3 linked regions of the Caenorhabditis elegans genome follow. The protein of the gene in region 3 interacts with the protein of the main gene of each other region in a pairwise test. Each region holds a gene or a part of one and is shown on either strand. Other genes may lie near its edges. The genes, in order: cytb-5.1, T27A8.2 and app-1.

The links.
Region 1: the proteins of app-1 (region 3) and cytb-5.1 interact in a two-hybrid assay, tested with the Caenorhabditis elegans proteins (one large-scale study listed by BioGRID).
Region 2: the proteins of app-1 (region 3) and T27A8.2 interact in a two-hybrid assay, tested with the Caenorhabditis elegans proteins (one large-scale study listed by BioGRID).

What each region holds. Positions count from the first base shown.
Region 1 is NC_003284.9:13,995,492-14,006,076, reverse strand, and holds cytb-5.1 (Cytochrome b5), read right to left. Parts: upstream 4,154-10,585; 5' UTR 4,153-4,153; coding exon 4,039-4,152; intron 3,610-4,038; coding exon 3,481-3,609; intron 3,427-3,480; coding exon 3,350-3,426; intron 3,239-3,349; coding exon 3,154-3,238; 3' UTR 2,997-3,153; downstream 1-2,996. Other genes in the region: tbc-19 (TBC1 domain family member 2B), read left to right, coding at 1-77, 129-235, 328-643, 1,058-1,182, 1,228-1,383, 1,430-1,608, 1,657-1,711, 1,754-1,927 and 6 more; C31E10.6 (CCDC93 N-terminal domain-containing protein), read right to left, coding at 6,952-7,098, 7,146-7,341, 7,476-7,702, 7,749-7,968, 8,016-8,702, 9,298-9,413, 9,464-9,622, 9,698-9,721; C31E10.5 (CCDC93 N-terminal domain-containing protein), read left to right, coding at 10,272-10,292, 10,345-10,455, 10,504-10,585.
Region 2 is NC_003284.9:16,053,777-16,064,361, reverse strand, and holds T27A8.2 (Fork-head domain-containing protein), read left to right. Parts: upstream 1-5,416; 5' UTR 5,417-5,427; coding exon 5,428-5,687; intron 5,688-6,314; coding exon 6,315-6,435; intron 6,436-6,486; coding exon 6,487-6,531; 3' UTR 6,532-6,686; downstream 6,687-10,585. Other genes in the region: Putative uncharacterized protein T27A8.3, read right to left, coding at 1,072-1,169, 1,227-1,677; T27A8.7 (uncharacterized protein), read right to left, coding at 8,080-8,112, 8,161-8,232, 8,659-8,742; cpd-2 (Peptidase M14 domain-containing protein), read right to left, coding at 9,838-10,107.
Region 3 is NC_003279.8:4,962,133-4,972,717, reverse strand, and holds app-1 (Xaa-Pro aminopeptidase app-1), read left to right. Parts: upstream 1-5,628; 5' UTR 5,629-5,647; coding exon 5,648-5,767; intron 5,768-5,812; coding exon 5,813-6,193; intron 6,194-6,240; coding exon 6,241-6,675; intron 6,676-6,722; coding exon 6,723-6,776; intron 6,777-6,824; coding exon 6,825-6,964; intron 6,965-7,014; coding exon 7,015-7,382; intron 7,383-7,428; coding exon 7,429-7,601; intron 7,602-7,644; coding exon 7,645-7,824; 3' UTR 7,825-8,051; downstream 8,052-10,585. Other genes in the region: W03G9.9 (uncharacterized protein), read right to left, coding at 492-546, 702-824, 1,247-1,323, 1,373-1,493, 1,658-1,773, 2,194-2,295; W03G9.5 (Protein kinase domain-containing protein), read left to right, coding at 2,473-2,529, 2,585-2,671, 2,714-3,267, 3,416-3,673, 3,725-3,902, 4,335-4,433, 4,478-4,711; Protein pid-4, read right to left, coding at 8,480-8,707, 8,755-8,904, 8,951-9,736, 9,783-9,833, 9,887-10,137, 10,185-10,266. UniProt on the Caenorhabditis elegans protein: Catalyzes the removal of a penultimate prolyl residue from the N-termini of peptides, such as Arg-Pro-Pro. Has activity towards the flp-9 neuropeptide KPSFVRF-amide.

The sequences.
Region 1 (10,585 bases), on a different chromosome or scaffold from region 3:
GTCATCATTTAATGGGGAAAATTGCTGGAATTAAAGTAGTCAAGGACAAAGCATGTATGAAGAATATTGATGTTGAAGTAAGTCATTCTATGAGAGTTTCTCTATATTATATATGATGATGTGTTTAGTTCGACTGTCGTGTAATGTCAATTTGCATGGTACGGAAAGATATGGCCTATGTGAGCTTGATATCAGGGTATTTAATTGCAGCACACGTAAACAGTGAAAATGAGTGGTATGTTAACTTAATTTATTGCAAATACTAGTGTATAATTACTATTTAATAAAAATTGTGATTAACCATTATTTTCGATCAAAAAATTGTAGGAGCATTTTATGGGAGCTCAAACTTCCCGACGTGGCAACTTTTCTTATTCACCAAGAGAACACTCTGTTTGCTGGGCTCGCCAATGGTATTCTCACAGTCTTTGAAAACGCTGGAGAGCGTTGGCCAACCAGTGTCCAAATGTGGCACATGCCACTCAGTTCCTCTCCGTTGACAAACGCTGTTATTCATGACGATACATTGGTTGTAGCAACTGCTTGCAAGTTAATAACCCTCGATGCTCAATCTTTGACGACGCTATCGACCACCCATGTGGCATCGTCTAATGTTGGATCGGGTGTGATTTATTTTGATAAAGTGAGTTCACGTGAAAATATAAATGAGATGAACTCATTGAACTTAAAAAAACACAAAAACTGAAAACCTAATCAAATCAAAAAAGTTTTTATACTCATAATTTCTGTTGCCAGTGTAGTTAAAGGTGGGGTACCGAAATCTGAGAAATATTTTTAATTGACTCCAAATTTTCCCCTGATTCCGAATTTCCTTGATTTTATATTTGAGCTTAAAATCGCGATTTTCATTTGTGCACCCACGAGCTTTTTCAAATGCGTGCCGAAATAAATTATCGTTGGAGCGCGCTTGCTTAATTATTCGGAATCATGGGAAAACTTGGAGTCATTTTAAAATATTTCCCAGATTTCGGTACCCCACTTTTCAAAATATATTCAATAATCGGACCAATGAAAAAAAAATCTATCGCCTTCTCAGATCACCTGTATGACCGAATCACCGTTTGGTATTTTTCTAACTACCAACCACTCAACATTAATTCAACTATGGCATGACACCGCCTGCAATTTGTTGTATGATATTTCTTTCGACCACAAAACACGGTTATTTCAGTTGTCAATAACAATGAATATTGGAAAGTTTTTCAGAAAACCATCACTATCAGACACAGAAAATAGTAACTATGTAGAATCAATGCTGTTTAATGATGAAACGTTATGGTTGGGCACTTCTGATGGATACGTTTTTATTTATAACGTTGAAAATGAAACAGGAAAGGAGGAAGTAAAATATAAGCTGAAAAGGTTTTGATTTTAATTTCAAATTTAAATTTACAGTGTTTTCTTTCAGATTTCCTGGTGAAAAACGGCCGAGTCGGCGTGGATCGTCTGCAAGATCTCAAAGACTCGGTTCTCTTATTGAGAATAATGATGAAAGTGATGATAATGAAACTGTACCAATCTTTTGTGCTGAAAAGCGCGCAAGTCGGGTTAGCATTTCCATAGACAGAGAAACACACCAATATAGCAGTGAGAAATTCTATTGCAAAACATAATTCTGAAACATTATAGTTCCAGTTGCTTCATTCCAACAAAATCCAGAAGATGTAGATTTTCCGGGCAGCACATACAGGTAAAACCATACAAAAAATTAGAAAACACAACTATTTTTCAGCAGATTAAACAGCTCTTCATCGAAAACTTTGAGATCTCCCATGAAAAAGGGATTTAGTGCGGATTCGGCGGTTTCTGTTTTCAGCTCCGAGCCCAATGAGTTAATTGAAAAATGCGATGAAAACTTTCTGTCAGTGAAGAAAGAAAAAGATTCTCCGAGATTCAGGGACAATAGGTTTTTATTCAAAAACTTCTGACCAAATTCATTTTGTAATTGCAGATTCTTCAGTTCAACGAATTCCAGTTGTACTTCAATGGAATATGACGACACTTTTGAGCTATACTCGGATGAAGAACGATCAAGAAGAAGAGTTGCAATAACGTCTCATAAACGATTTGGTTAGTTTGGAATTTAAATATTGAATTCGTATTGACAAGAAATTAAAGCATCCGGCATAGTTTCAGCCACTCCATCAAAACAACTTAATCTTCAGCGGAAAGATTTAACATTTGATGATCCGTACATTGTCCCAGTCCCAGGTACATCTCAATATTTTACCGCACAGTTTAATGATCGCTTTTTGTTTTCAGAAAGTGCTGATAAAGAAACATCGAACGATGTAGAGGACAGTGCAGTGTATGGCCTCATTATAATGTACTATCAATAAGAGAGTAACATGGTTTTTTTTGCAGGGTCTCCAGCGTCAGGTTGTCCTTGTTCATGAAATTGAAAATATCGGAGACTTCCGTCAGAAAGATAATTTCTAGCGGGTGAGCAAAGTTTCAAGAGTTCACACAGTTGGAATGACGCAATTTGTGAACAAAGTTTTTTTTTCAACAATTGTTAAAGCGATTTTTTTACAAAATTGAATTGAGAAATTGAAGCTAAATATTGGGTAATGTTTTTACTAACTTAGTTAATTAGTTAACTAAGTAAGTGTTATAGAAAAATATAAACGACTTCAAGATTTTTTTTCGTTCACGCAACATTCACTCACTTCATGACAAGGAACTTATGGCATATCCAAGAAATTTTTTTCAGCGAGCACCACATTCTTACCTGCTCTGGAGAGTTTGGCGCCGACGAAGCAGTGTTGCTTTGGAGGAAAGATATTTCCACAGTAACTAATTCCAAGTTAGCTAACATAAAAGCTGTTTAATTTCAGAATCTTTGGATCAATGATCCAGTAACCCACGAAGTTCCAAACATACCTCCATCGTCAAAAACGTCCTCTTCAACACCAGCTTCCATTCAATCATTATCATTTCGATCGAAATGAAAACAAAATATTAAAGTCCCTTTTCAGTGTACATATGTTAATCACAGTGATGTATTTATTTTCGATAATAAAATCACAAAATGACATTTATTGGATAACAATGAAAAAAAAATCAGTTTTTTTTAAGTAAGATAATGCCCCAGTTTTCAAAATCATGGCGAAAATAGTGGATCAACAGTGATTACGCAGCGATAAGATAATAAACAAGAGCAACAATGACAGCAAGAAGGGCGAAGTAAACAATGTTGTCGGTTTGCATTGACTCTCTGAAAAAATATTATTATTCTGAGCTGAGATGCAGCGTTTAGTCAAAAGTTAACTTTTAAAATCATTTTTAAAAAAGTTCAAATTCAAAATAAAAGTATAACCCTACTTACCCTCCTCTCTGCTTGTTATCCTGTTCGGTGGTAGACTTCCATTGCTTCTTGTCATACGAGTAGGTTTTTCTCTCAGACTGGAACACAAAACAAATGAATGAAAATTATAAGCAAAAAAGGCAAAAACTTACTGCAACGACTTCTCCGATCAAATACTCGTCCTTCATATGCCTAGCGTCAGTGGAGTGCCCAACATCCTCGAATGCCTCAGTTCCATCACTTCCAGCCTGCTCAAGAAGGACCTCGCAACCTCCCGGATGCTGAAAAAAAAACATTATTAATTTTTAGTTTTGATGCGCCACGTGGTGCCAGCCTGTCCCATTACGGTTTGATCTACAAAAAATTCGGGAATTTTTGCCCCTATTTGTTTTCAAGTATTTCGATATCTTAATCGTCATGGTTTTGATTGTATCAAACAGTAAATTTTGTTTTAACGATAAAATAAGAATACATATTTGAAAGAGACGGTAACGGCTATTTTTGATAAAGTTGATGCTAAAAATTTTTGAGCAAGAAATCCTATCAATTGCAGAGAAAAAATTTAATTCCTTTTCATTTTTCATAGATGTCAATTTCTTTCTATTGATCAACAATGAATCTGCGTTTGTGTTATTCGTACCGTAAAGTGTGGTTTATGTCTGCCTACGTGCTTCGAGTACGGATTTCTAAATATCAGAACATAATCTTACCTCGTCCAAGAACTTGGTCACATCAAACACCTTGTTTCCAATTACAAGCCATGCTGATTTGTTTGTGTTGTGCTCGGCAATTTCCTTAAGGGTGATTTGCTTAAGATCGGCCATTCTGAAAATCATTTCGTGTTATTAAAAAATATATAGATATGAGAAGTATGGCAATAAAAAACATATTAAATTATGTTATTAAAATACAGGCCTGCAATACAAGACAGAAAAGACAGCAGCAATTGTGTCAAGGATGAAGAGAGAAAAATAGCTGACCAAGTTGAAAGGAGAAATAGAGAAACATGGGAAAGAGAGCAGAGAGACAATTTGAACAAACAAATAATAACGGCGGAGAAGAAATGGACGAGAGAATTGGGCAAAAGGAGTAGTGTGCCTGGGAGGGTGGCCTCGCGATGATCAATAGGCAATGAGACTATACTCTAACCTGATGTCATGACAACAGAACATGAGCATAAAGCACATTTTGGGAACACTTTGGAAATGTTAGTTTTGTGATTTCGAAACATGTGTATAATAACCAAAACGTTTAAAAGTAGAGATTCTATGAAAAATGATGAACTTACTTACTTACTTACTTAGTTAGTTAGTTACTTAGTCAATCCGTTCTTCAGGAATTCGGGGGATTCCTGCGGATCACAGACAATTATTCAAGAATTCATATTTTTTGAAAGTTGAATTTAAAAAAAACACCTGCAGTTTTGTTCGGTTTGTAGTGGTTTCAGACTGTTGACTAGTCGATTCAAATTGTCATACTTCATTATTGTCAAAAAAACGTTGTGTCAGAGTGTCCCATTCCGGTTTGATCTACGCAGATCTACAAGAATTGCGGGAATTTAGAAACAGACTTCTCAAGTGATTTCACAAAGTTGCTGACGTCGCATTTTATTGGGAAACAATTTCCCGCTTTTTTGTAGATCAAACCGCGATGGGAAAGCATGACACCACGTGAAAAAGAGTCCTTATTTTAATTCTAAAAACGTAAAGCTAACATCTCAATATTTTGAAAGACGTTGCTTCAAATAGAAAGAAACAAATTAGTCGAAAAAAACGTACATTTATATTTCTACTAAAAACTGTATAATAAACGAATCATCTCAAAACAACTGTTTATATCAGAATCTTAAAAATAAATTTAAAAAAAAAGCTTCAATTTTCAAATTTAGTGGAAGTGTTTAAAAAGGCAAATAGAAAAAATAAATCCAACTCTATAAGTAACGGTAGTTTTAATGTTTTAGTTTTTACTTAATTTAAAGCTGAAAAATAAAACTATCTACTTGTTGATTTCACAAATAGTTGCGTCTATTCATTCCAACTTTGGAGAGAAACAGAAATTGGGATGACCTGGATAGAACAAGAAAAGGGGAAGGTGCATGAGATGAAGGGCGAGATGTGACCGCCAAGGGATTAATGTACGCAGGCTACGCAGGCAACGTGGATCCGTTCCTATCGATCGATATGCAACGAAATGAAAATAAGTCTAGGGCTGCGTAGCCTTTTATACCAGTTGCTATACGCTCTCGCACCAGACCAAAGTAGGTTCGCCAGTATGGTCAAATGGGGCTAGAGAATGCTAGAGAAGAGAATCTATGGTTTGTAGTCTTCGGAACACACGTAGTCAAAGTAAATTTTCAAGAGAGAAAAAGAGTAGGAGAGTGATCAAAGGTGGTTGTGTATTTGATAAGGAAAGATTGTACAGATTGAATTTAACGTTGAGGAGAAAATAGACAAAGTAGTTTGTTGGTCATATTGACTACATGTTAAATTCATTTTCAATTTTGGAGGAAATGTGAGTAATACGACGAAACATTATTTTGCAAAATGGAACGTATCGTCGAAAATTTTTGAGTTGAAAATCTAAAGAAACATTTTATTTGAAACTATTCAAAGTTGGCTATTGCTCTTAAAGAACAATTTTTCCACAGTGTAACGTCTTTAAAAAACATACCTTATAGGCGGAGTACCGATATCTGGGAAATATTTTTGAATGGCTCCAAATGTTCCCCTGATTTCGTATTTGGGCTTAAAATCGCAATTTTCATTTGCGTCCCCATGAGCTTTTTCAAATTTGCGCCAAAATAAATTATCCTTGGAGCGCTTTTGCCTCATTTAATTTTCTCCTTATATTTTTACTTTCTTTTTCAGTTTTTCAGCTATTTTCGTTCATTTTTTGATAATAAAGTGTTCAATTCGCAGGAAAGAATATATTTTTCAAAACAAATGAACGAAAATAGCTGAAAACTAATTAAAAATATGCATAAAATTAAATGAGGCAAACGCGCTCCAAGGATAATTTATTTCGGCGCGGATTTGAAAAAGCTGATGGGGACGAAAAAGAAGTCGCGATTTCAAGCTCAAATATAAAATCAGCGAAATTTTTTTGAATTTTTTCATTTAGATATTCGGAATTAGGGAAAATTTGGAGTAATTTAAAAAAATTTCCCAAATTTCGGTACTCCACCTTTAATAATGTAACAACATGCGTTAAAACTATTGTTATCTCAAATATTCATTCCACTTTTTTGTATTTCCAAAAAGTTCCGAGCAAAAGAGCTTTTTCGTAATCTTATTTTCTCTATGGAATCTGAAATTAGTTTGTCTTTTTTGTAATTATTCATATATACTCACAGAAATGTGCTCACAGAATTTCAAAAAAAAAACCAACTAGATTCATTCAATAAATCAATATTTTATTAATAAAATCCGGGTATTACGTGGCGAGTGGGCGGGGGTGCGACAATCGAAAAATTTCAGTGACAATGGTGGAAGGGAAATCATGAGATATGAGAAATCATTGTTGTGATGGGGAAATCGTATACATAGTATGAACACAAGTTGCAAAATGGCAAATAAAGCAGCGAAAAGAAAGAATTATGGAATGTTTTTTTTTGATTTGTGTGTCTACTTCTTGAACGCTGCATAGTCCAATTCCCAACTTTTTGGGAGTTCCGAGGAGTTGTTACCAGCACCCGCTTTTTTGAAAAGATCTTGTTCCCAGGTGCTCATATATTTTCTCTTCTGGAACAGCAAGTCGCTCAGGGCATGATACTGAAATTTCCGACTTTCATTTGTAAGGTTTCAAAATGTATTCTTACTTTGGCATTTTCACGAGAAGCGCACTTCACCAGATGGCACATTTTCTTCGTGTCAAAGCTTAGACGGAGATTTCTCTCACACAAGTTTCTGCGTTGATCTTTCAGGAACTTTGCCTTTCCCAGCCAATCCGACAAGAACATGCAAGCATCGCTTGTGTAGCCAATGTATGCAACACGGTAGTCGTACTCGGTCCTTCTGAAAAAAAAATTTGGTAAGTGGGGCAGCCTCTCCTATGGTGCCAAAATGACCAAACATCTAAATAAAACTTTTTTTCAAAAAATGTTTGCAAACTTATAATATCAGAAGTATGTATCAATTTAAACACTTACTCCTTTGGTTGAGGCATTGAATTCACATGACCGATCATCTTGTTGACTGTTGACAAAATTTCATTTATGTCGCTCGCAATTGTGTGATCGATTTCGTTGAGCATGCTGAATGGATCATCGTCAATGTTGTCGGCCATCGAACCTTGCTCTCTTTTCTGGCGAACTTCAATATACTCCTCAAAGGCTTTTCTGACAGCTTGCTCAATGCTCTGGGCGATTTGAGCTTTCTGAAACAATTTATTGGGAAATACTATACAAAGATCCGTCAATAACCTTCTGCAGAATCAACCTTTCCTTCCGGTGATTTTCCAATTTTTCTCTACGAAATGGACAATACTTCTTAAATGCACCATTTTGATCTTTATTTGCAGCAAGCGTCTTCTCAACTTCCACAGCTAATTCAAGCTCTTGAGAAAAATCTGTGTGAAACATTGATGCCCGACTAATCGTTGTGGCGACGACGTCGGTGATTCTCTCGACCTCGAAAGAAGTCCTGAAACATTAGTCATTTAAGTGAAACAGTGCAATTAATAAACTCACAAAAAAGAAGTGTACTTAGTTGCGGCACTTAACTGTGCTTCCAATTCCGAAAACCGGGCATACATGGCATAGTAGAGAGCCGCCTCCTCTTTGAATCGTTGCTCCAGTTCAATAATGTTTTCAGCCAGATGTAAGTTGTCGATTGCTGAGAAAAGTTTGTCCGCAAACTGTTTGGTGGTATCCGAAGATGCAGAATAAATTTTGTTACTCAACTTTTTGAGATCTTGGCGCTGCTTCTCATATTGTGCCTCGGAAATCTCGCTTAATCCAGTTTTGTGCCTTCCTTCTTCGTCAGAAGGAACAAATGATGGATACTTCTTGACGCCAGTTTGTCCATACTGAAGATACTCAGCAATAATAATTCTGCTATCAGCTTTCATATCACGAAGAATTGCATTGTCGAACAGTTTAATTCGTGCTGATTCGGTGTATTGATTAGCATTTGGACGACGCAATGAAGATATGAAGTCCAGTGCTGCGGCGGCTTCATCTTCATATTTCATATTGAAGCAGGCCATGAAACACTTGAAACGATCCATATCCATGGTTTGGCGACTGATTCGTTGTAACACCCAAGTGATGATATCCACCAGAACCGATGAGTCCACATTCAGGAATTCTTGTTCAGTTGCATCAAACGGGCAGTTGATTTTTTGAAGAGCATATATAATTTGAGCGATTTCGCTTCTGTAACAAAATTTTTTATGTTTAGGTCCAAGAAAACATTAGAAATAATCAACATAAAACTAAAAAGAACATTTAAGTATGGAAATTCAAAATCTATATTATTATTTTTTTAAGTGGAGTAGCACCATTATTGGGAATTTGTCTAATACACTTATAAAAGTTCCAATCGACTAAATATAATAATAAAACACTCCAAAAACTTTTAGATTTTTCATAGTTTCCGGTCATAGTTTTGGAAAATTGCCTAAATTTTGAAAAATATGAGCTTTTGGGGAAATCCAAAGCAATGTCGCATGTTTCGACAACCACAATGTTTCAAAAAAAAATATATAAAATGAAATTACAGTAGAAAAAATGTAGAAAAACATTTTTTGCCGACTTCCAAAATTATGAATGCCAAAACTGCGTAACACTTTTTGACAGTAAATAAAGAAAATTCAAAAAATTTTGAAAAGTTTTATTATGATATTTGGTCATTTTGGCATCATTGAAGTAGTTTTCAACAATATCCCCACTGGCGCTACTCCACCTTTAACTATGTTACAATTTATCACAATTAGAGAATTCAAAAAAATTAATTTTAACCAATACTCACCTCTTTTCACTAGCAGTCTTCTTCTTATCATCAGGCAAGCTTTCTCGAAATTTCCAAGGATGTCCATTTGGCTCCGGCACCAAAATGCTGACTGCCCAAGCTATTCCACCAACAATCTGTAATAAAACATTCATATCTAATTATCAATCATGAATAATTTTCATACCATGTCATATCCAGACAATGAGAAATACCGCACACGATGATAGCCCACCATTGAAAGTTGATGCAGAATAACCTCGTGGAAAGTGCTCAATGGCTTTCCAGTTATTGTAGAATTTACGGTCCGCTGAGCCACCTGGACCAATTGAGCTTGGCGACCCTTCTGAAATTGAGACTTTAATCACGGGATATCAGTATAACAATTTAATTTTTTCAAAAATAATTTCATTGCACTCACCTTGTTGTTTTTGTTTCGGTTCATCCTAGTTGAAAGTAATCTGAAATATGTTGAAATTTTTTATAAATATTCGGAAAAAAAGAGAAAAGCTAATAATCGCTTTGAACTTATTATAAATCACATTCAAGGATGTTTGCTCTGTTATCGATTTTCAACTTTTTATTCAAAGGAATTCATGAGTATCAAAAATATTAAAATTCATCAACCTATTTAACTGTCAAAACCATTTTGACTTCAAAAAATTCAATTTGAATACAAATCAGGTTTTTTCTCGGAACAAGAAATTAACTTTTTTCTGCTTCGAAAATAAACGATGCTGATGGTCCACAAGGCAGATGGAAAAGTCTTGCCATTTTTCTCTGCATCTCTCCATTTGCCTAGTCTCTCTGGCCGCAACTGCGCGTGGAATCTAGCGCAATTGCACACAATGCATTGCATCCATCATCCGCTGATGTTTCAAATAAAAAAACCTCATTTTTTTGTTTTAATTTATGTTTTTTTGATTTTTCAAACTAATTTTATCATTGAAAATTTTCATTTTCCAGCTCTGCATCTCAAACACTTCAATTCAGTAATGCAGACACAAAATATAGTGGTAAGTTGCTTTGACATTTTCAAAAACCTTGGATAAAACGCTTAAATTCCAGAAACAATCTCTTCGCGACTGCCCTCCAACTCCGCACGACAATTTGGTGGAGCGATTGGTGCTTGCAGGATGCAATTTGAATCGAGTAACAACGCATTCTCTCCAAAATCAGGTAGGAGTTTTCAATTTGTATATAGAGACCAAGTTACCTACTTTTCAGATTATGAGAGGAACCATCAGCGCATTGAAGGGATTTCAGACGAATCCAAAAGCAGAAGCATTAAAATATCGAAACGTGCCCA
Region 2 (10,585 bases), on a different chromosome or scaffold from region 3:
GATACCTTCAAGGTTAATGCACAATCATTATGCACGCATGTGTATGACCAGGTAAGATTTTTTTAGGTTGAAATATAGACTGAAAGTCGTAATAAATTTACAGCTGGAGCTTGTGGATCCATATATGGGCTGTTATGGTATCTCCGAAAACGCTACAATCTACATTCCAATCGCACAACAGTTTTTCCAACGTTTCCGTGGTTTGAACAAAAGGCTATGCTATTGTGAAAATTATCTATATTTATAGAGTTCGCTGTGGCGGGATTTTCCATGCTTGATAAGGAAACAGTCAGGAACTACGTGGAAAGTCTTCTTCGGGATATGATGAAAAACAAATTGTAAGCTTCTACCAAGATTCATTAGATCTACGTGTTTGAAAATTTATAGGGACAGAGTGCGTCGTGTCTACAAACTCACACACGGGGAAGATTCGATTCGAGTGAAGACAAGATGGATGAAGGAGGAGCTAGCGAAGGAACACAGTGATATTTTTTTCCCGTGAGTTTTACAATATTTTTTCAAAATTTAAAAGAAAAAATACCTGCAAGAAAGATATTATCTTTCATCCTTGATTTTATTTCCAACGTATCCATCGAAATTTCCGTTTCCAAATCCATCGAAATTTCCGCTTCCAAATCCATCTCGTTTCGATTAACTTGTTCTACCTAACTCGAGGCTGTCTCTCCAGATGGATCTGAAAATTTTGATCGGAGAGGACCGCTAGTACCTTTCATTTCCACTAACCGCTCATATTTCAACTGCTATGAAACTTTCGACGAGTATACTACATGGCTTTGCGACAAAATGTTTCTACAAAATTACAAATCTGCTTTTCAAAAAAAAATTCAACTTTTCAGAACTGAATTTGATATAAAAATGTAGAAAAAGTTCGTTCCAACGGGAAATTATTTATTTTCGGTGAAATTTTTGAAAAATAGTGCCGGAAAAACCGGAAAACGGTAACTTTCCGGCAATACTTGAGATTTTTCTTAGATTTTTCAGAAAAATAAATATAATTTCCAGATGGAACGAACTTTTTTTCATTTCTATTTCAACTTTAGCTCAGAAATGTTAAATTATCAAATTGAGAAGCAGGTTTGCACGTTTGCCGATAATTTTTCCCGCAAAGCTTTGTAGTATACAAGCTCCAACCATAGCCATCCAGCGGTCTGTAAATAGAGTTAATATTAGCATCAATCTAGAAGCAGTAGAGTAGGAACACTTACCTTTGAGAGCCATCAAGTACTTGGTCTCTTCAAGCCGATCAATCCAACAACGGCAGAAAGCCAGCGTGGCGAAATTCTTGTCGATCAATTTGAGAAGACCCTTCGATTTTTGCAAGCGAAGTGGAATTTTCTCGTCGGCGAGCTCAAAATTCTTCATATAATGCGATGTTTCCATATCATCATGAAAATATCCTTTTCCCGTAGATCCGAACGTCTCAATCGCGTAGATCTCGTTCTCCTCCATCCTCGCCTGTTCACCGCCCTTCACAATTGGAACGGTCTTTCCAGTGTGAATACGGCATTGAGCGATCGACTGTCCGTTTAGACTGCCAATCGGCTTCACCTCATTCGAGTTTCCATGGAATTCGCATTTCGATTCCGTATTCTTTGATTGTGCCGTCTGTGGCTCTTTCCATTGGGTCTGTAAAAAGTTTTGATCGGAGAGAATCATCAGTTCTTGAGCTTCACAAACCGCAAAATCCCACATCGTCCTCCCTTCACTCTGCGATCGCTGAAGTACCAGAGAAGAATCTTTAAAAAAAAATCTCTGAGTGAAAGTGAAAACGAAGATAAAAAGATAAGACAGAGAAGACAAAGAAACTTGAGAAATGATGTTACTGGGCGTTTAATTTCACACGAATAAATGATTTTATCCCAAAATTACCACTATATCTTCGTGTTTATCGATATATAGTGGACAAAGGGAGCCAAACAAATTTATCAGCGTGAAAAAAAATATAAACTGTATATTAGTGAAAGAAATTCTGTCCAACTCGCAAAATTAAAATCATAATGACGAGAAAATATGCTCAAAATGAATGATTTTGCAAAGAAATGAGTTGGCACGATTTTTCGCGCGGTCCGCAATAGTTTGTCGGTGTCACGTACAATTGTCGACCGTAACCTTTAAATCTTTAAGTCTAGAAGACAAATGTGACAAGTCGACTGGGAAATTTGATAAAAAGTTAAAAACATATTAAATATTGCTCACAGAAAAAATTGAACTTGAATTTGAAGGAAATTGAAGAATTGATGTGTGCTGATGAATTTTTCCGTGGAATTCATACAGTAATATAAAAAATATAATTTTCATAACATCGAATTTAGAATTTTCTTCAGTTTAAAATTTGAACAGTTGAAATAGTGAAAAAGCGAAATAATATAAACATTTGAAAATAGTTCGTGATAAAATTGAATACCAATTCCATTTCAGGGATGAGCTCATTTTCGTCGAAAGTCCAGAAGGCTCGGCTGATTTGGAAAACATGGGGGATTTGACGGAGAAGGCTGGCGGCGAGGGAACGTCTGGAGCCCCAGCTTCATCATGAGCTGTTTTTGTTGATTAATTAATATTGCAACTAATTATTGGTTTGTTACTTTTCTTATTAATTTCTTTTATTACTGCTTTTTTTGTTTGTTGTTCAGATGAAGTTATTTTTGTTACGAATTCTGCTACAATCAACCAAAATTATTTGTTCTGGGGCTTTCATGAGCCAAAAATGCTTCATGTCTTTCCGGCCGCTACATTTGGACCCATTTCTACCGTACTCATGCCCGTTCGCAACGCACGCGTGAAGCATGCTTCCTTTCGCAATGCACGCGTGAAGCATGCTTGCTTTCGCTACGCGCGCCTGACGCATGCGTGACGCGCGTCTTCGCTTGGTCCTCTCAGACGCGTGAGCGAAGCGTGTGAGACGCGCCACGCATGAGCCGCGAATCACCTGTGAGGGTTCAATCCCCTCACCGAACCAAGGTGGTTCTGAGTTGCTCACATGCTCAGATAAGTGGAAGTTCGGAAGATTGATGATCAAAAAGGTGGTGTTGAATCTTATTGTTTCATTCAACATTGACAAAAGATCGAAAAATGTTTTTTTCATTTTCATAGAATTGTCTTCAACTAGGCTTATACTCTTTTCACTCTCTTTTTCTGCTTTAGTTTCCCACAGCGTTTGTCAGAAATAACAAAGTTTGTATGATTTTTTTCCAATTTTTCCGGAAGAAATTTATGTTGGTAGGAATGTTTTGAACTGAAGACAAAAACTCCTGTAGCGCGACCAAAAACGAATTTCTTGACCCAGAAACGTACCCATAATACTAAAAAAAAATTAGCAACCATTTTTAAAAAAATTCTCCCAAAATTCCGAAATTTTTATTTTTGTTTTTTTTGTGCCTGTATATACCTGTTGAAATTGGAATTCAAGCCAAAAACCCCTGTAGCGCGACCAAAAACGAATTTCTTGACCCAGAAACGTACCCATAATACTAAAAAAAAATTAGCAAACCATTCTCATAGAAACTCTCCAAAAATTTCAAAATTTTTTTTTTGCAAAAAAGTGCAGTCATATGTATGTAAAAAAATGAATTGAAGACAAAAACCCCTGTAGCGCGACCAAAAACGAATTTCTTGACCCAGAAACGAACCCATAATACTAAAAAAAAAATTAGCAATCCATTTTCATAGAAATTCTCCCAAAATTCCGAAATTTTTATTTTTGTTTTTTGTGCCTGTAAATACCTGTTGAAATTGGAATACAAGACAAAAACCCCTGTAGCGCGAACAAAAACGAATTTCTTGACCCAGAAACGTACCCATAATACTTTTAAAAAAATTAGCAATCCATTTTCATAGAAATTCTCCCAAAATTCCAAAATTTTTATTTTTGTTTTTTTGTGCCTGTTGAAATTGTTGATATTGAGGAAACCTGTTGAAATTGGAATTCAAGACAAAAACCCCTATAGCGCGACCAAAAACGAATTTCTTGACCCAGAAACGTAATACTAAAAAAAATTAGCAATCCATTTTCATAGAAATTCTCCTAAAATTCCAAAATTTTTTTTTTGCAAAAAAGTGCAATCATATGTATGTAAAAAAATGAATTGAAGACAAAAACCCCTCTAGCGCGGCTAGAATATAACTTGTAGGTCCAGAAACTTATCCATAATCTTTTAAAAAATTTAGAATCCAAATCTATGGAAACCCTACCAAAATTCCAAAATTTTTGTGAAAAAACTTCTGTCGAATACCATAGGAATTCTTCTAAACTTTGAAAATTTTCATTTTTGTTTTTTGCGCCTATATTTGGATTACCGGGGGGAGTCCCATAGTTATTGGCGGGACATTCAAATTTTCTAAGAAAAAATTTAGGCGAGAAACTCAAATTTCCTGAGAAAAAAAAACATTTTGGCAGGAAATTCAAAGATTCATAGTCCGGAACTAGATTTGCTTTCTTTCCTTGTTAGTAGTGCGGCATTTCTTTTTGCTGCAAGATATGCCGTTGTTGTTCTGCTTATTTCTGGAAAAAATTTCATTTTAATATTTTTGTGAAAATTTTCTGTTTTTCCATGTTTTTCTATGAATAACTTTTATGGAAATTTTTATGAATTGTTTAGCTTTAACAATCCTTCTAACAGTTAGGAAATGACTAAATATTATAATGGATCTTTTAAAAATTTGTGGAATTTTTTTTTATTTCGGGTCTGATCGTGCGCCAATTTTGGAGAAACCAAAACACTGTTGCTTGTTTGAATCCCAACAATATTAAAATAGGATTACTGGAAACGTGAGTCAAATTTAAAACTGAAGGTAACTTTTTTTTTGAATATTTTTATTATGATATTTGGACATTTTTAAATTTTAATGTGAACGAGTTTTAATCTTTTCCCACAGGCCGTTGTCCATCTTCAATTAAAGTTTTTTTTCATCTTTACAATCATCAATTTTATAAAACCTTCAACTATGCTCAGATATAGCCGACTCAAACTTTTCATAATTTCGAAATTCAATTTTTTTTCAATTTTTTTGTTTCCTTTTGATTTGGTCATTACGAGTTCGTTGTCGTGTCAAGATTTGACCTACGACAAGTTGGTGTTGCCTGCAATGCGTGAGTCGCGCGACAGGTCTGCCCTCGTCTTCCGCACACTATTATCGATCGATGGTTTATGGCCGTTTGCTGACATTTGAATGTGCCATTCTCTCATATCCACAGCTATACTTTTTTGTGGTTTTTTTTTTGTTATTTTTCATGTAATTTTCGCCTAACTGAATCTGACGTCTGCACGATTTAAATTTTTTCCCACTCGGCAAGTTGCCGCAATATAAGATCCAAAAAAACAAGACATTTCTGTATTTCCTTTATTATGTACGTGGCAAATAAATTTGAGAACCTTCAACTAACTAAGTAAATTTTCATTTTCAGCTACCATGACGTATTTCACTCACGAAATGAACCAAATTATGGGGCTTCATCATCCGGAAATGGCGATGCCCAAGTTCAAAATGGTCGCCCTGGTCAGTGCTGCGATGGAAGAAGCGGATGACGTGTTTCCGGAGATTGAAGTAGTTGTCAAGTGGATCACCGACTTGTTCCCGTATTACAAAGTGTTTCACGATATGTACAAATGGGAGTTTGTTAATCATGTGGCCTGGGTTCTGGACACCGAACTGTGCTTTCGTCGAGAAAGGTGAGTTTTGTGAAGTTTGTAGAAATATTTTTAACAAAAATTTGAAACATTTCAAATTCTTTTTCAAATATTATCGGAAACTGAATTTTGTTGTCAGATTTGCGTGTAGCGTTTAAAAATTGGTTTTCATATAATTTTCAACAAATTCAAGTAAATCCAGAATGTAATTACAACAAAAAATAAAAATAAAGTTCTGCTAAAAAATATCAGATAACAAGTTATATAGCCAAATCATACAATTGCTGTTCATATAATTTAGACATAAGAACCAGAACTGTGCGGCAACCGGCAACCAAGTTGCCGGTTGCCAAAAATTTGCCGAAATTTCGGCAACCAAAATTTGCCGGTTGCCAAAATTTTTTGGGTTTGGCAACTTCGGCAATTGCCGGTTGCCGCACAGCCCTGATAAGAACCCCACAATTTCTCCAAAAATTTCACCAAAATTTCTTTTTATCAGTTTTTTGGAAAAACAAAAATATGTGAATACTCATAAAAACTGTATTTTTTTGGTTTATAAATTTTGCTAAATTTAATCACTAGCACTTACTTAAGAATAACTCCAAAAAAAACTTAAGAAATAACTCCAAAAACTATTCGTATATGTTTTTTTATACTTTCAATTTGCAGAGACGTGAGATCTGGACTATGGGCTTATGAAGACGGCAACAAGGATATTCTGGATGTTGAGGAGGAGTTTCGAAAGGATATAGACGAGTTGAAGCAATATGTGGAGCATCAGGTGGAAATGGTATGTTGCCATGGAAATTTCAGTCATATTATATTAAAAATTGTTTTGCAGACGGATCTTGCTGGACGGATGTATTCGATGTCCTCAACCGGGTGATCTCTTGACAAGTTTTTCATAAAAATATTTCATTTATACATTAATTCAACTTATTCACTTTTTAGATTTTATTGAACCAATTCTGTATATAAAAAAGTTTCCAGTTCAAAACATTCCTACCAACATAAATTTCTTCCGGAAAAATTGGAAAAAAATCATACAAACTTTGTTATTTCTGACAAACGCTGTGGGAAACTAAAGCAGAAAAAGAGAGTGAAAAGAGTATAAGCCTAGTTGAAGACAATTCTATGAAAATGAAAAAAACATTTTTCGATCTTTTGTCAATGTTGAATGAAACAATAAGATTCAACACCACCTTTTTGATCATCAATCTTCCGAACTTCCACTTATCTGAGCATGTGAGCAACTCAGAACCACCTTGGTTCGGTGAGGGGATTGAACCCTCGACTGTTGACTCCACGGTCGAGTGCTTTACCACACTTGACCATGTTGCCAGCTCAGGATGAGTCACTGATTGCGTTGAGTTGGCGCCATGAAAACGTGGCGCGGTGGCGTAGAATGGCGCAATTTGTGCTGAAAAATGAACACTAAATGTGGGTAAAGTATATATTTCTAATATCAGAATTTTGCACTGATTTCAATGGGCAGCTTCAAATTGTTCAATTTTCAATCTAGCAGAAATTGGGACTTTTGCCAAAAAAAAAAATAAATCGTCAAATTCTATTTGTAAACCACGTTAAACATTATTAACTGTGAAAATGGTAAATGGTCCCATATCAGGGTGTCCCACAAGAAGATGATCTATAACGAAGTATCATAATATATCAATAAATCCAATTGACAACAGGTACTTTTGGTACACCCCTTTTGGTTGAGAAAAGATGGGGCGCAAAAAATAAAGTCATCGAATAAAAAAGTGAGACTGGCACCATTTATAAAAGTGCCGTAGCACGGCGGACAATTTGCAAAATAATTTCCAACAGCTGCAACACAGACAAATTAATATGACTTGAGGTTTTAGCAAAACTCTGTTTTTTTTTCGATACTGAGCTGTCATCAAAACTGAATTGCATTGTTTCAGATATCTATTTCAAAAGTTATTTGAGATAAGTTCAAGTCCGAGTCGGATTTAAGTTTGAAACCACTAGCTAGTCCACCTTCAAACTTTAATTTAGATCAAAAATCTTTTAAAAACAATTTTTGTGGCCACTCGCGCAGGTAGCCATCCTCCCTGCTGCTAAATTCGCTTTTAGGCGGTCACAGATATGGGAAGGGGCATCTGACTTTTAAATATAAAGTGCCATGACTCGTTTTTTTTTTTCAAATTTGCCGCAGGGAGTTGCACATTCTGTGGATAATCAATATGGTCGCTGTGGGGGGTTGTCCATATGGCCAGGGGTAAAAATCGGATAAGATGGTGCTCGTTTTTACCCGTTAAAATTTAGAAAAAAAGCAATATTTTGAAATGCTAAATTGTGTTTATTAAAACCGGTTAAACAAGACAAGGAGTGTAGCAAAAAGATAGTCTGTGAAAGCTAGCGAAACAATATAAAGCAATGTGTGTGTGTGTGTGTGTGTGAAGCCAAATCATTTTTTCCCGCCGAACAAATTTGACGTGTTCTGAAATCAAACTGGATTGCATGTAATGTAAATTTACACAAGTCATACCATCGATGAAAAGTTTTCAAACTTTTTAATGATTTCGGAAACAGATGAACAGGATGTATACGTATTCTCAACCTGAAAGTTGATTCAATTTGGGTAAGCTATAAATTATTTTTTGAATTTAGTGGGCATTATAGTTACAGACCAGGGGTGTGCGGCAAATCTCAAAATTTGCCGAGCTCGGTAAATTCGGCAAATCTCTTTTTCCAATATTTGCCGAGCTCGGCAAACGGCAAATTCGGCTATAAAAAATGTAGAAAAAAAATTTTGGTCGACTTCCGTTAGTGGCAAAAACTGAGTAATTGTCACTTTTAGACTGTAAATAAAAAATTTTCAAAAAAAAAATTGAAAAGTTTTATTATGATATTCGGTCATGTTGGGACCATAATAGTGGTTATTAACAATTTTCCCACTGGCGCTACTCCACTTTTAAACTAGAAATTTCCTTACATAATCGCAACTTGAAAATTTTGAAAGCTCATAGAACACCTATAATATTACCTTATTGTCACTCACAACACTTATCAATCCATTTGAAACTGATGTGTCCTCCTTCTTTTTGCGCTCCATTATGATCCAAACCATATTTTTCGGCTCTGGTGGCTCAGGTCCATAGATAAGCGGACCTGGCATAATCTCGTTATGAAATAGATCTCTCAGAAAAAAAATACGGGAAACGGCAATATGAAAGGAATATAAAAGGTGGAAGGTGATACATAACCATTTGTATGCAAATTTTCACAGAGCTCGGTTTTGTATAGGACAATAAAGTAAAAAAGAAACACGGTTTCGAATTCTTTTCAGTTGATAAAATGTGATAGGGGATTGGGGGTGGACAAGAGAAGACAGACAAGTTTGAAAAAAGAATCTAGAGGTTACAGTTGGAATAAAACAAAATCACCCTGCTGACGCAATTTTTGGAAGAAAAATCGAATAATAAAACGTCATACTTGTTTGTTTTTTTAAACCTTTTTTTTTTGAAAATCTGAAACAAGTATTTTTCCGCCGACTCAACTCGGTAACTCAAAAAAATATAACTTAAAAAACAATAATTTCCAGAATGCTTTTGAAATGTTTGCCTGGCACAATCAAAATCATGAGCATAGGAGGTCAGACTCTTTTTATTTTAAAGGTGGAGTAGCGCCAGTAGAGATTTTGTCTAAATACACTTATTGTGATCCGAAATGACCAAATATCATAATAAAACACTTCAAAAAATTTCCGGCATTTCATAATTTCCAGTCAAAGTTTTGGCAAATTTTCAAAATTTTGAAAAATAAGAGCTTTTGAAGAAATCCAAAGCAATGTCACGTGTTCTGACCCCTACAATGTTTTAATGCAAATAATTAAAACAAAATGACAGTATAAAGAATGTAGAAAAACAATTTTTTTTGGTCGACTTCCAAAATTATGAGTGGCAAAAACTGAGTAATTGTCACCTTTTGAAAGTAAATTTAAAAAATTTCCAAAATTTTTTGAAAAGTTTCATTATGATATTTGGTCATTTTGGGACCAAAGAAGTGGTTTTTAACAATTTCCCCACTGGCGCTACTCCACCTTTAAATCAAAATTTTTATTAGAATTAATCAATACAACTTGATAAATATTCAATTTGTGGGGGGACTCACAACTGTAAGATAAAGAAGGAATGAAATACAAACGGTGAGAATTAGAGAAAAATTATAAAAACAAAGAGGCAAGAGAGAGAATAATCATAAAGACGGAAAAGTGGCACACGGAGGAGGACATTGTCACAATACGGAGATCTTTGTTATTTGAATTATCAACATTGTACTCGTCTTTGTTTGGAACTGATTTTGTCGGGATAAGGACTGGTCGCGAACGTGGTATTATCCTTTGCAGACGGACTTCAATGTACGGGGAACGGTCTTGTGGAGTGACGTGCACAGTTTGAGTGACAGGATAGTAGTCACTGTGGTCGAAGGTGAGCTGCAAGTTTTGATGTTTAGTTTTGCACCAAGTTTTCTAGTGGTTTTTAGAATTTTGTATAGAAACAGAGAGATATGATTTCAAAACCAAATATGTATAAAAATCGGGCTTTTTAAAGATTTTCGCTCTTCGAGCGCTATGCACTGCGGATCTGGGAGCCAGGTACACGGCCTGGTGGTGCTCCCACTGGGCTATAATTCAAGCCACGTCCTTGCCGCCTAGGGGGTGAGGTCGGGTTTGAACTCGTCACCTCCAGATTGCTAGCGGCCATCACTACCGACTGAGCTATCCCGCCCCCAGATGACATAAAATTAACAAATATTTAGTGGCTGGCAAGAATTCTGTCCAGAAATCATTGCCGCAGGGTACCCTGTGACCTAGAGCTTGGTAGCTTTTTGTCATGGACCCTAGATCACACTCTATTTAGACATATTTGTGGCTACCAATTTTATCAGGCCTAGCGTGGAAACAACCTCTG
Region 3 (10,585 bases):
TTCAAGTGAACGCTGAATTGTTTAACTTTCATTAATCAAGTTAATTTAGTCATTATGCTTATTTCCAACTTATTCTCTTAGTTGAAATAATTGGCATATTACTATCTCTATCCTGTCACCACTTTCAAATGTTCATTGAATATTATATATATACATATATATATATATTCATTATTTTCGCTCCTCTCTCTTCTCATTTCCCATCATTCCTCTCTTTCATTAGATCCCAATTGAATTGAATCCTCCCTAATGCATTCCCCTCTCCCGCTTACTATAGCTCACCTGCGCAAATGCACATAATACTCACTCGATTCCGCTTATATACCTTCTGTCACAATAACAATAATAGTAGTTGCATGGTGTTTGGTTTTGGAAACACACATACTGAATTACGGGAGTTAAGAGTTTTATGGAACAATTGAAAAGAAATAATTCTGACATAGAGTTATTTCAATGTTTAATAGTGTTACAAAATAAATTCTGAAAATGTATTAGAAGAGATTTCTTTGCAGGAAGCGTTGAAAATTGGCAGATGATGAGTGTGGTCTGAAAATATGTTATATAATTTCAGACAGTTTTAGTAAACTCTCATTGAATAGAAATATTGCATTTCTAAAAAGTCAGTATCACAAAACTGTTCCAAAATACTTTTGTGTAAATTTCAGAATGAGGGGTAATAAAAAGCGACTTGAAAATCTTACCGCTGTGCTTTGGTTTCCCCAGGAAAGCTGACCCAAACATTAGTGTCCCATCTTGTTTCATCAATATTCACATAAAACATTGCAGATCGGCGACCATTTTGCCATCTAACACAGTACTTGTGTCTGGAAAAAAAATCATTTATCTCAGTATAAAGCAGTTTTTCAAACTTTGTGGCATTTGAAAACTAAATATTTATTTTATATTTTAGACAAACTAATTTTTTCCTCTAACTTCTAAATAAATTACATGTAGTTAGATAGCGAGGAGAGCGTTGAATTCTAAAAACTAATAACCAAAAACATTTTTCAGTAGGTGGTTATGCTTTAACACAGTTGCGGTGAGACTAAATTAACTTCAAAAGATCCACTGTTTTTGAAAATTTGGCAATCTACCAAAACTTCAACTGAAAGTTTTGAAAAATCTGAATATTTTCAGAGTGTTTAATTAGATTATTATTTGGTCATGCGTGGGTTTATACAGAGTCCCTACTGGCGATGATTAAATTTTTGAATTTTGAAAGTTGTTAAAATAAACGCATATGTACCTTTGAAGCATATTCAATGAGACAGTGCAAATGAATTGAACGACGTACTTACATGGCGCGTATGGTATACTCCACATCTTCAAGATTTTAATTAATTGAAATTAAATAAATGAAACTTTTCCCTACTTGATCAATCATTGCATTTATTGCTCTCTTGCCATCTGTTATCGGAGACCAGTTTTTGGGACGAATCGGTTGCTCAAGTGTTTTCTGGCGATGTTCTTTTGGTATTGTGATAACTTTTATTCTGAAATTGATAGTTGGTACTATGAAAATTTGAAAAACAAATTTTTTAATTTTGCTTGAAATTAAAACATAGTTTTTTTAAATGGCAAAAACAAGTAATTGCCACTTTTTGATTGTTGATTAAAAACTTCAAATATTTTCTCCTCCAATATTAAAAAACTAAACCTCGGAGTTGTAGTAGCTGTCGATGAAGATGAGTCACTTGGAGCATTACTGGGAAGCTTTTGTCTTGACAACTTTCGACGGACTTGTTCCACAGATTGGTCTAGATTTTTCAGAGTCTGAATAATAAAGTTATCAATTTTTTCTCAGGTTTTGAAATTTTGAGGGTCTGAAAACTGTTTGTAATTGTAATTTGGGGATCAATGTTAAATTTAACACTTAAGTAATAGTGTTCCGTGAGGAGAATGAAAAACCAAAACTGAACAGAGTTATAAAATGAATTATAAAATCATAGAAAATTAACGGAAGTCGATCTACCAGGTGTACTTCTTTCCAAAATTAGTTCCAGAAATAGAAATAAAAAGCGAACATTTCCAGAATTACGTAAAAGTTAATGCGAAATAGCGAAATATTGACCAAATTTAAATTTCTATCTCAATACAAGATTTGGTTCAAAAATCGGTTGAGCTAAATTTGATAGAAAATTGTTTGAAAAAGCACCGAGGCACAAAAAATTCAATTTTTTAAAGTTTTCTTACCTGTACATGCCTTAACGATGCAATGAATGATGCTGAAATTACAGCTCTTGCATATCTTCTACAATCCCGTAGATCTCCAGAACTTAAAGCTGAAGAATACATTCACTAGTAGTTCGAATTTTATATAGTATGCCTTTCGAATACTCCGTGAAATTCCCAGTGAACTGAACCATTAACCAATTTGACGTTTTTTTCTTTCGTTGGTTTTCTCTCCAAGACACCACAATTGTTAGTCATTTCTATCAAAATTTATGCTCGGATTTGCCGAAGATTCAAAAAATGACGACGAATAGACCAAAAATCAAAGTTGCATCTGTTATAAACCGAAAATATTTGGTGAGTTGGGATAAAAACATAGTTGTATTCAATAAGTTAAAAACAAATATTCCAGGCATTTAGAAAACTTGGAGAAGGTGGATGTGGAGTCATTTACGAAGTTGCGATGGTGAAGTGCCCAGGGAGAAGATTTGCGTGCAAGGTAATAATAGATTTTGACATTCTTTTAAATTACTACTTTCAGGCTGAAACTACCGTATTTGATGAGGATCCAACACTGCCAATGGAACACAAAATAATTTCAAAACTCAATGAAAAGAATTCTATCCACTGTGTGGAACTTATTGATAAAGGACAAAGCGACAACTATCAATTCATTGTTATGACACTTTTAGGACCATCACTTGATGCAATTCGAGCGACTCTTCCTACCAATAAATTCTCGACTTTTTCCACTTTAGTCATGGGAATTCAAGCATTGGATTCGATTAAAGAAATCCATGATATTGGATTTGTGCACCGAGACGTGAAGCCGGCGAACTTTGCGATAGGAGCACTTGGAACACCGAAACAACGACTTGTTCATGTTCTAGATTTCGGAATTTCTCGTCAATATTTGGTGAAAGATGGGGAGAATGGAGGATTGAGAATACGGAAACCAAGGAGAATTGTTCCATTTCGAGGTACTCTTAGATATTGTTCAGTGGCTGCTCAAGAAAGAAAAGAACAAGGAAGACATGATGATTTGTGGTCCTTGTTTTATATGATTGTCGAATTTGTGAAGGGATCACTGCCATGGTGAGTGGTGTTTTCATTTTTGAAGCTTCTGTAAAAATCTGGAAAAAAGTTTGAAGTAATATGAGCCCCACCGATAAAAATACAGTCCTAGTGTGTGCCTTTAAAGTGGCGTTTCGTGTTAAAAAAATCTTTAATCATTTTTTTTCAGGACGGGAATAATGGAAGAAGAGAAGGTGATTGTTATGAAAGAAGATGTCACGGAGCTATTCAATGGCCTTGAGTCCGAATGTGCAATGTTTGCTCAACACCTGTCAGTTCTTCGTTATCAAACGAATCCAGATTATGCACTTCTTCGAGATCTTCTCATGAATATTTTTGTTCGACGAAATTTCAATGCTCAAATGAAAGTTGATTGGGAGAAAGGTGGACGATATGAAAGCCATTTTGAGAAGAAAACTTCAACTTTGTAAGTTTTTAAATATTTTGAATATTATTAAGATAATTTGAATATGTTCAGGCCAGTTGTTATCGAGAAAGACATGACTGAAGTGGATCTGTCAAAGTTGCTGAATGTTCCGCAAAATGAGAGAAATATAACAATGGAAGAAATTATAGCTGCTGGTAAAACGACAGAGGAAGAGGGACTGAATACTGCTCAAGATGATACGATTGTTGAGGATGAAAATGGATTTTTGGTGAGATTTACGGCGAAAGTTGTTGTAGGTAGGCATGAGGTAGGCACGTAGATATGCAGATATGAGGTTGAGATCAGACCTATAGGCAGGCGCACGAGGGGTAGGCATGAGGAAGGCACAAAGTTAGGCAAGCAGAAAGTAGACAGGCAGGCATTAAGTTAGAACCAGGGAATGAATAATGAAGGCATGTATGAAGCCAGGCATAGGAAATGCAGTTTTGAGGTGCGCCTAGGCAGGTAGGTATGAGGTCAGAATAGGCATACGGGATCTGAGAATCAGGTAAGTGTGTGTTGCGTGTAGTTCTAATGCAAACGCGTAGGCAGGCATGGGGGAGCTCAATATTAATAATAAATCGTTATTAGGCAGGCATGCGGCAGGTAGATAGGCATGTAGGTAGGTGCCGTAGACAAGAGATATATTTGAAACATTCAGGGAAAACAAGAAGCCAAGCCGGCGACACCATCTGCTCGATCTGAAACCAGTAAGAAAGTGAAAAGGAGATATATTGCGAGAACACCATCGGCGCATAAGGTATAGAATACGTTATTCGACGTATTAAATTTTCCAATTTTCAGATTGAACAGATTGAAAAGAACTGGAAGAAGAAAGAGGAAGAAGCGAATAAAGAGAAGTTGCTGAAGAATGCACGGGCGGCACGAAGAGCCAAAGAAGATTTTATTGTTCCGGAGGATAATACGGTTCAAAAAAGAAAACTCGAGAGCACACAACTGTCGTCTGCAGTTTCCACGAAATCCACTAGAAGTATTGGAAAGAAGATTTTGCCGCCGAAATCATTTGAGCTTCATTGATAAATTTTATTTTTTAATTTTGTAGACACACAGACAGATGTAATCGTGCTAAAAATTACGATTTTGAAAAAAAACAATTTTTCTTTTTCTTAATTTTTTTGAATACGAAAGAATGAATTTCCAGACTGAAATTTTCATTATTCATTAATTTTCGCACGCGTAAATTTTTGGAGAGGAAATAAAAAACCGCGATGCGAGTTTGGGTTTTGCTGTTCACAGTTTGTTCAACAAATTTATTATGAGTATTTTTTAAAGGTTATTTTCTAAAATTCTAGACCTGAATTTCGAGCGAAACTCATTTTCAAATCTCCTCCTTTTTTGACCCATCAATAGAGCGCGCCTTCTCAGCTTTCGAGTCACCACCGATTAGAGGCCTGTGAGACCTCGTGTCATAAAAATTTCTGAAAAAAAGCGTGGATAATTCGTATCAGGACACGAATAAAGTTAATATTTTAAATGATCCACAGTGAAATTAACATTTTCATTGAAATTTTCGTCTTTTAATGATATTTCAAAACGTTTCCTTTGCGGTTTTCCAAGTTTCCACTTCTTGAGTCTAGAGATCTCGAGTCCGTAGATACTCTTCTCATTTTTTGGAACAGCGTTCGTTCTCGATTCGGCAGTTAATTTTTCATTTTAAAACATTTTTAGACTTCAAAAATAGTTATTTTTCAGTTTTCTTCTCAAAAAATTTCCACATCCTCTGTTGTTTTCATTCAATAGAATTCAGAGATGATTTTTGATTTCTGTATGTATAAAACCATTTGTGATTGCGTATTAAAACGATTGATCGACAATTTCGTCGTTGGTTTTATTCGTTATCAGCTCTAAAATTCGAGAAAAATGTGCAGACGATTAGACGCTTGGTTTTTAAATTTCTCTTTACAAGTTTAGCTTTAATTTTCTTTTTTTTTCAGATCGGGCAGAATTGGAGTGATGACAGCATTGGAAAAACTCGCAAAATTGAGATCCTTGTTCCATTCGGAACGGGTTCTCGCGCTCACTTCCAGCAAGCCGATGGTCGCGTATCTTCTCCCAAGCACTGACGCTCATCATGTTGGTTTTTAGGCTTCAAATAATCTTCTAAATGTTAATTTTCAGAGCGAATATCTAGCCGATTACGATTTTCGAGTGAAATTCCTGTCTGGTTTCAGTGGTTCCAATGCCTACGTTGTTGTTACCGATAGAGAAGCTCTCCTTTGGACTGATGGCCGATATTTCACTCAAGCCGGGAATCAGCTTGATTCCAACAGCTGGAAATTGATGAAACAAGGACAGCCCGATTCGATTACTGTCGTTGATTGGCTTGTGAGAGAGCTCGAGCGTGGATCCGTTATTGGATTTGATCCAACTCTGTCGACGTTCGACGCTGGTTCCAAGACATTTAAACGTCTGAAGGCAGCAGGTCTTCAACCAGTCTCGATTCCTGGAAATCTAGTCGACGAGTTCTGGACTGATCGGCCAAGACTCGCTGGTGAGCCAGTAAGTTGATAGATCTATACTGCGGGATTTAATGTTCCACTTTTCAGGTAGTCGTGCTCGATGTTGAAGACACTGGTCTTACAACTTCAAAAAAAGTCGAGAATCTTCGGGAGAAGCTGAAACAAAAAAAGTGCGACGCAGCTGTATTTACTCTTCTTGATGATGTTATGTGGCTTCTGAACATTAGAGGAAGTGATATCCCGTACAATCCTCTTGCATATTCATATCTCTTCGTGGCAATGCGCGAGATTCACGTATTTATCGACAATGAGAAACTCGATGAGAAATCTCGAGCCCATTTCCACAAATCGAATGTATCGATTCATCCATACGGAGAAGTCTATTCATGGATATCCAATTGGCTCAAGGCAAAAGAAGCGAGCAAAGAGCCTCACATGGTTTATCTCACACCAGAAACTAATTACGCTATTGGAAGCATTATTGGCGAAGAGAACTCGATGGTTGACACTTCCCTGGTTCAGGTAATTCCATGAATTTCTTGAAATTTTTGAAATTTAATCTTTTTCAGACCGCCAAGGCCACCAAAAACGATCATGAAATGCAAGGAATGAGAAACAGTCATGTAAGAATGGCTACAGCATCGTTTAGGATATAATTTAATTCTTTCTAGCTTCGTGATAGTGCTGCTCTTGTTGAGTTCCTTTGCTGGCTCGAAAAGGAGTTGCTCTCTGGAAAAAGATACACTGAAATCGAGTTAGCTGATAAGATAGACCATTTGAGAAGTCTTCAAGACAAATATGTTACTTTGAGGTTCGTTTGTTAAATATTTAAAACTACATTTAATTTATATTTATTTTCAGTTTTGATACCATATCAGCTGTCGGAGATCACGCAGCACTTCCCCATTACAAGCCTCTCGGAGAAAGTGGCAATCGTAAGGCTGCAGCCAATCAGGTGTTCCTCCTCGATTCTGGAGCTCATTATGGAGATGGAACAACCGATGTGACGAGAACTGTGTGGTACACGAACCCACCGAAAGAGTTCATTCTGCACAATACTCTTGTATTGAAGGGACACATTAATTTGGCACGGGCCAAGTTCCCTGATGGTATCTATGGTTCTCGTTTGGACACGCTGACTCGTGATGCTTTATGGAAGCTTGGTCTCGATTTTGAACATGGTACTGGACACGGTGTTGGACACTACCTTAACGTACACGAAGGACCGAGTAAGACGAAAACAGTAAATGTAACTGTTTGAATATTTATTTTCAGTCGGAATCGGTCATCGTAGTGTTCCAACCGGTGGAGAGCTTCATGCCAGCCAAGTGCTTACCATTGAGCCAGGATTCTATGCCAAGGAGAAGTACGGAATTCGAATTGAAAACTGTTACGAAACAGTTGAAGCTGTTGTCATGTCTAAAGCTCAGAACTTCTTGACATTCAAGGTATACCCAGATCCCAGGAACTTTATAAACTTATTAATTTCAGTCTCTCACTTTGGTGCCTATTCAAACTTCGATCGTCGACAAGTCTCTTCTGATTGAAGAGGAAATCAATTGGCTCAATCAATACCACGCTCGGGTTCTGAAGGAAGTTGGTGAACATCTTCAGAAACGCGGAAAAACGGATGAGCTGAAATGGCTCGCAGAAGCCTGTAAACCAATCTAAATATCTGGAACAATTACAACATGTTTTATATTATTTTAACCGGTCAACGTCTTGTTGAGCAAATTTGTGCTCAATTAACTATTTTTTATCACAATTTCTGGATCCTGGTGTAAAACTTATTCTCCCCGAATGATTCATCCGTATTCCCCTTTTTTTCTCCTGTCGTTCTTTCTCGCTTTTCCGTAGATTTCCTGTACTAATACTTGAGAATGAATCTTTTTCTTTTGTTAGTTGGAAAATTGAAACATAAATAACAATGCCGGCTAGCAGGTCTTAACAACTGTAAGCTAGAATGTTTGGTTGACGACATTTTGCTGTCGGATTTTGACATCGGTGCAGAGATTCAAGCCAAAGTGCTTACAAGTGAGCCAGGATTGGATGTAAGGTTAATAACGAATTTGAATTGAAAACTGTTGCGAAACTGATGAAGCTGTTGTGAACTGCATTCTCATAGATCCAAGATTCTCGCTTTTAACTTCTCCTCGATTTCCTGTATTTACAAATTCTTGAAAATGAATAATTTTTATTTGTTGATTCGTAAACTGAAATATTTAAAAAAAAGAAACAAAAATACGGACCAACGGGTCTTAACAAGTAAACTAGAATACGGTTTGATGACACAGATGAAAAATAATTAAAGCTTGAATATCAAGCACTAGTTGGCCGGCTTCATATAGCTGCCGCTCGCGGGAAATTTGAATTTTTGCGGAGATCTGTCCACGAATGGCTTCTTATTCTTATCGGCGATCCATGACGCTGGAATTGTGGAGATGCCCGGGGATGATTCCGCATTTTCAAGCCATTGATCTGTGCAGCATAGTCCCATGCAATCCCTATCCTCACAGAACAGCTTCGACATTGAGCTTTCTTTTGGTGGCAGCAACTGAAAATAGGATTTCGTTTTTGAAAAAGAGTAATATAAATTTATACCACAGCTGTTTCGATGTTACTCCAATCCTTTGGCTGGCCATTAAAAAAGCTGTTCTGGTAGATCTTCCGTTTTCCTGTATCAAATGATTTGATGTATGCACGACCCGTTTTCCTGATGTGCGCGATTCTCCGGGCAACATCTTCTTCGGTCTGAAAAAACAAGATACACTGGATGTGTATGAGAAAAATTGCTCACCTTGGCACCTTCAAATCGAACTTCAAGGATTGGAGTTGGGACATTCGCGAACTCCTGCGGCAATTTTCTCACAGTCAGATAATTCGTCTTCAGAGCTCTCATACTTCCTGTGTCAATCTCGATATACAAATCGAGTCCGGGTTGACTTTTGTGAGGACGAATACCACAGACATGACGAGCTCTTCGGAACATTGTACCCTCTTCCTGAAACTCCTGGAGGCACAAAATAACATTGACTCTCCAAAAATATGGCTTCATCGGCTTCCCATCTTCTTGTTTTCCTGATCTTTTGGGGTCTTTGTCGGTTCCAAACGTATCTCTTTGAAGATGTGATAGTTTGTTGTACCAAGCCAAGAATCGAGCGGAAAAATCTTTCAGCATTTGCTCCTGATCGTGTTGTTTAGGGATCACATACGCATGAAGATTTTTGTTGCTGCAGAGGACTTTTCCGATTTCCATCTCTCCCTTTTCGTAATCGAAAACATTCACATGAGGTATCAATGCAGTCAGCGCATTTGAAATCTCTTTGGGCACGATGGAGGCTACATGCTCACAGTTCGATGGTGTTTTGAAATCCTCGTCGAGATTGGAGATTGTTGCGCTCAGGAAATTATTGTTTCCAACCGAAAATTCTGGGTTCGTTCTGTCCGGGCGCTCATCACATTTCGTTTCGAAGTTCATGAAACGGCCAGTACAAGATAGCGATCTTCGCGAAGGAGTAGGGATGAATCCGAGCTGTCTGTGCTCCCGAACGAATTGTGATGTGGCCGTTTTCTTCTTGAGCACCTGCAAATTATGTTTATTAGTGATTGTTCATTGTTGTATATATCACCTTTAACTTCTTCAGTTCGGCGGTCATTTCCGTGGTAGCGATGGTGGTTCCCTGGAATTATTTTTTTGAGAACCACATCTCTGAAGGATGATATTCAACTATACCATGAAATCGACGGCATAGTGAGTTTCGGGGAGCTCTCTCAATTCACTACCATTGCCATAGTAGGTGTGAAGATTGTTGATGAATTGGGCGTCGCATCGGCTAGTTTTATCGGCAATCTCTTGCCGATACTTCTTGAACACCGGCTTGCCTTTTGCAGTATCTTTTGCATCCCATTCCACCTCTTTCGCGTACTTTGCATCGTGGCTCTTCTTCCGTGCGTCATCGATCTTCGTCTGACTATAGAGGTTTCCTGAAAAAAATGCATATTATTTAACATTTCCTTAACGAAAAACTTACTTCCTGCGAAGAAACGCTTCAAATGCTCCTCGCTTTCCAATGGCGATTCGTCGTCCGAATCCCTCGCGTTATGCGTGTTCATGCTGTAATGAATAAGGTGAAAATACGCTACGTAGGAGAATGGAAAACAACAAGGTATTTCAAGGTATTTACTACAACGCATTTCAATAGAAGAAAAGAGTAAAGTAGGGAAAATATTAAAAACAGAAAACAGAAAATACCGTACTGCCCGCGACATTTATGGGCGGTGTGGAAGAAAACCGTGAAAATTTTAACGAAATTTTTGAAAGAAGTTAGACCCTTGCTTATGGTGCGTCCATAGTCTGCGGAAAACGGGAAAGTCCCGCGTGCGGAAGGGTCCATAGTCTGCGGAAAAAAACAAGGAGTTTCTCGCTTTGTTA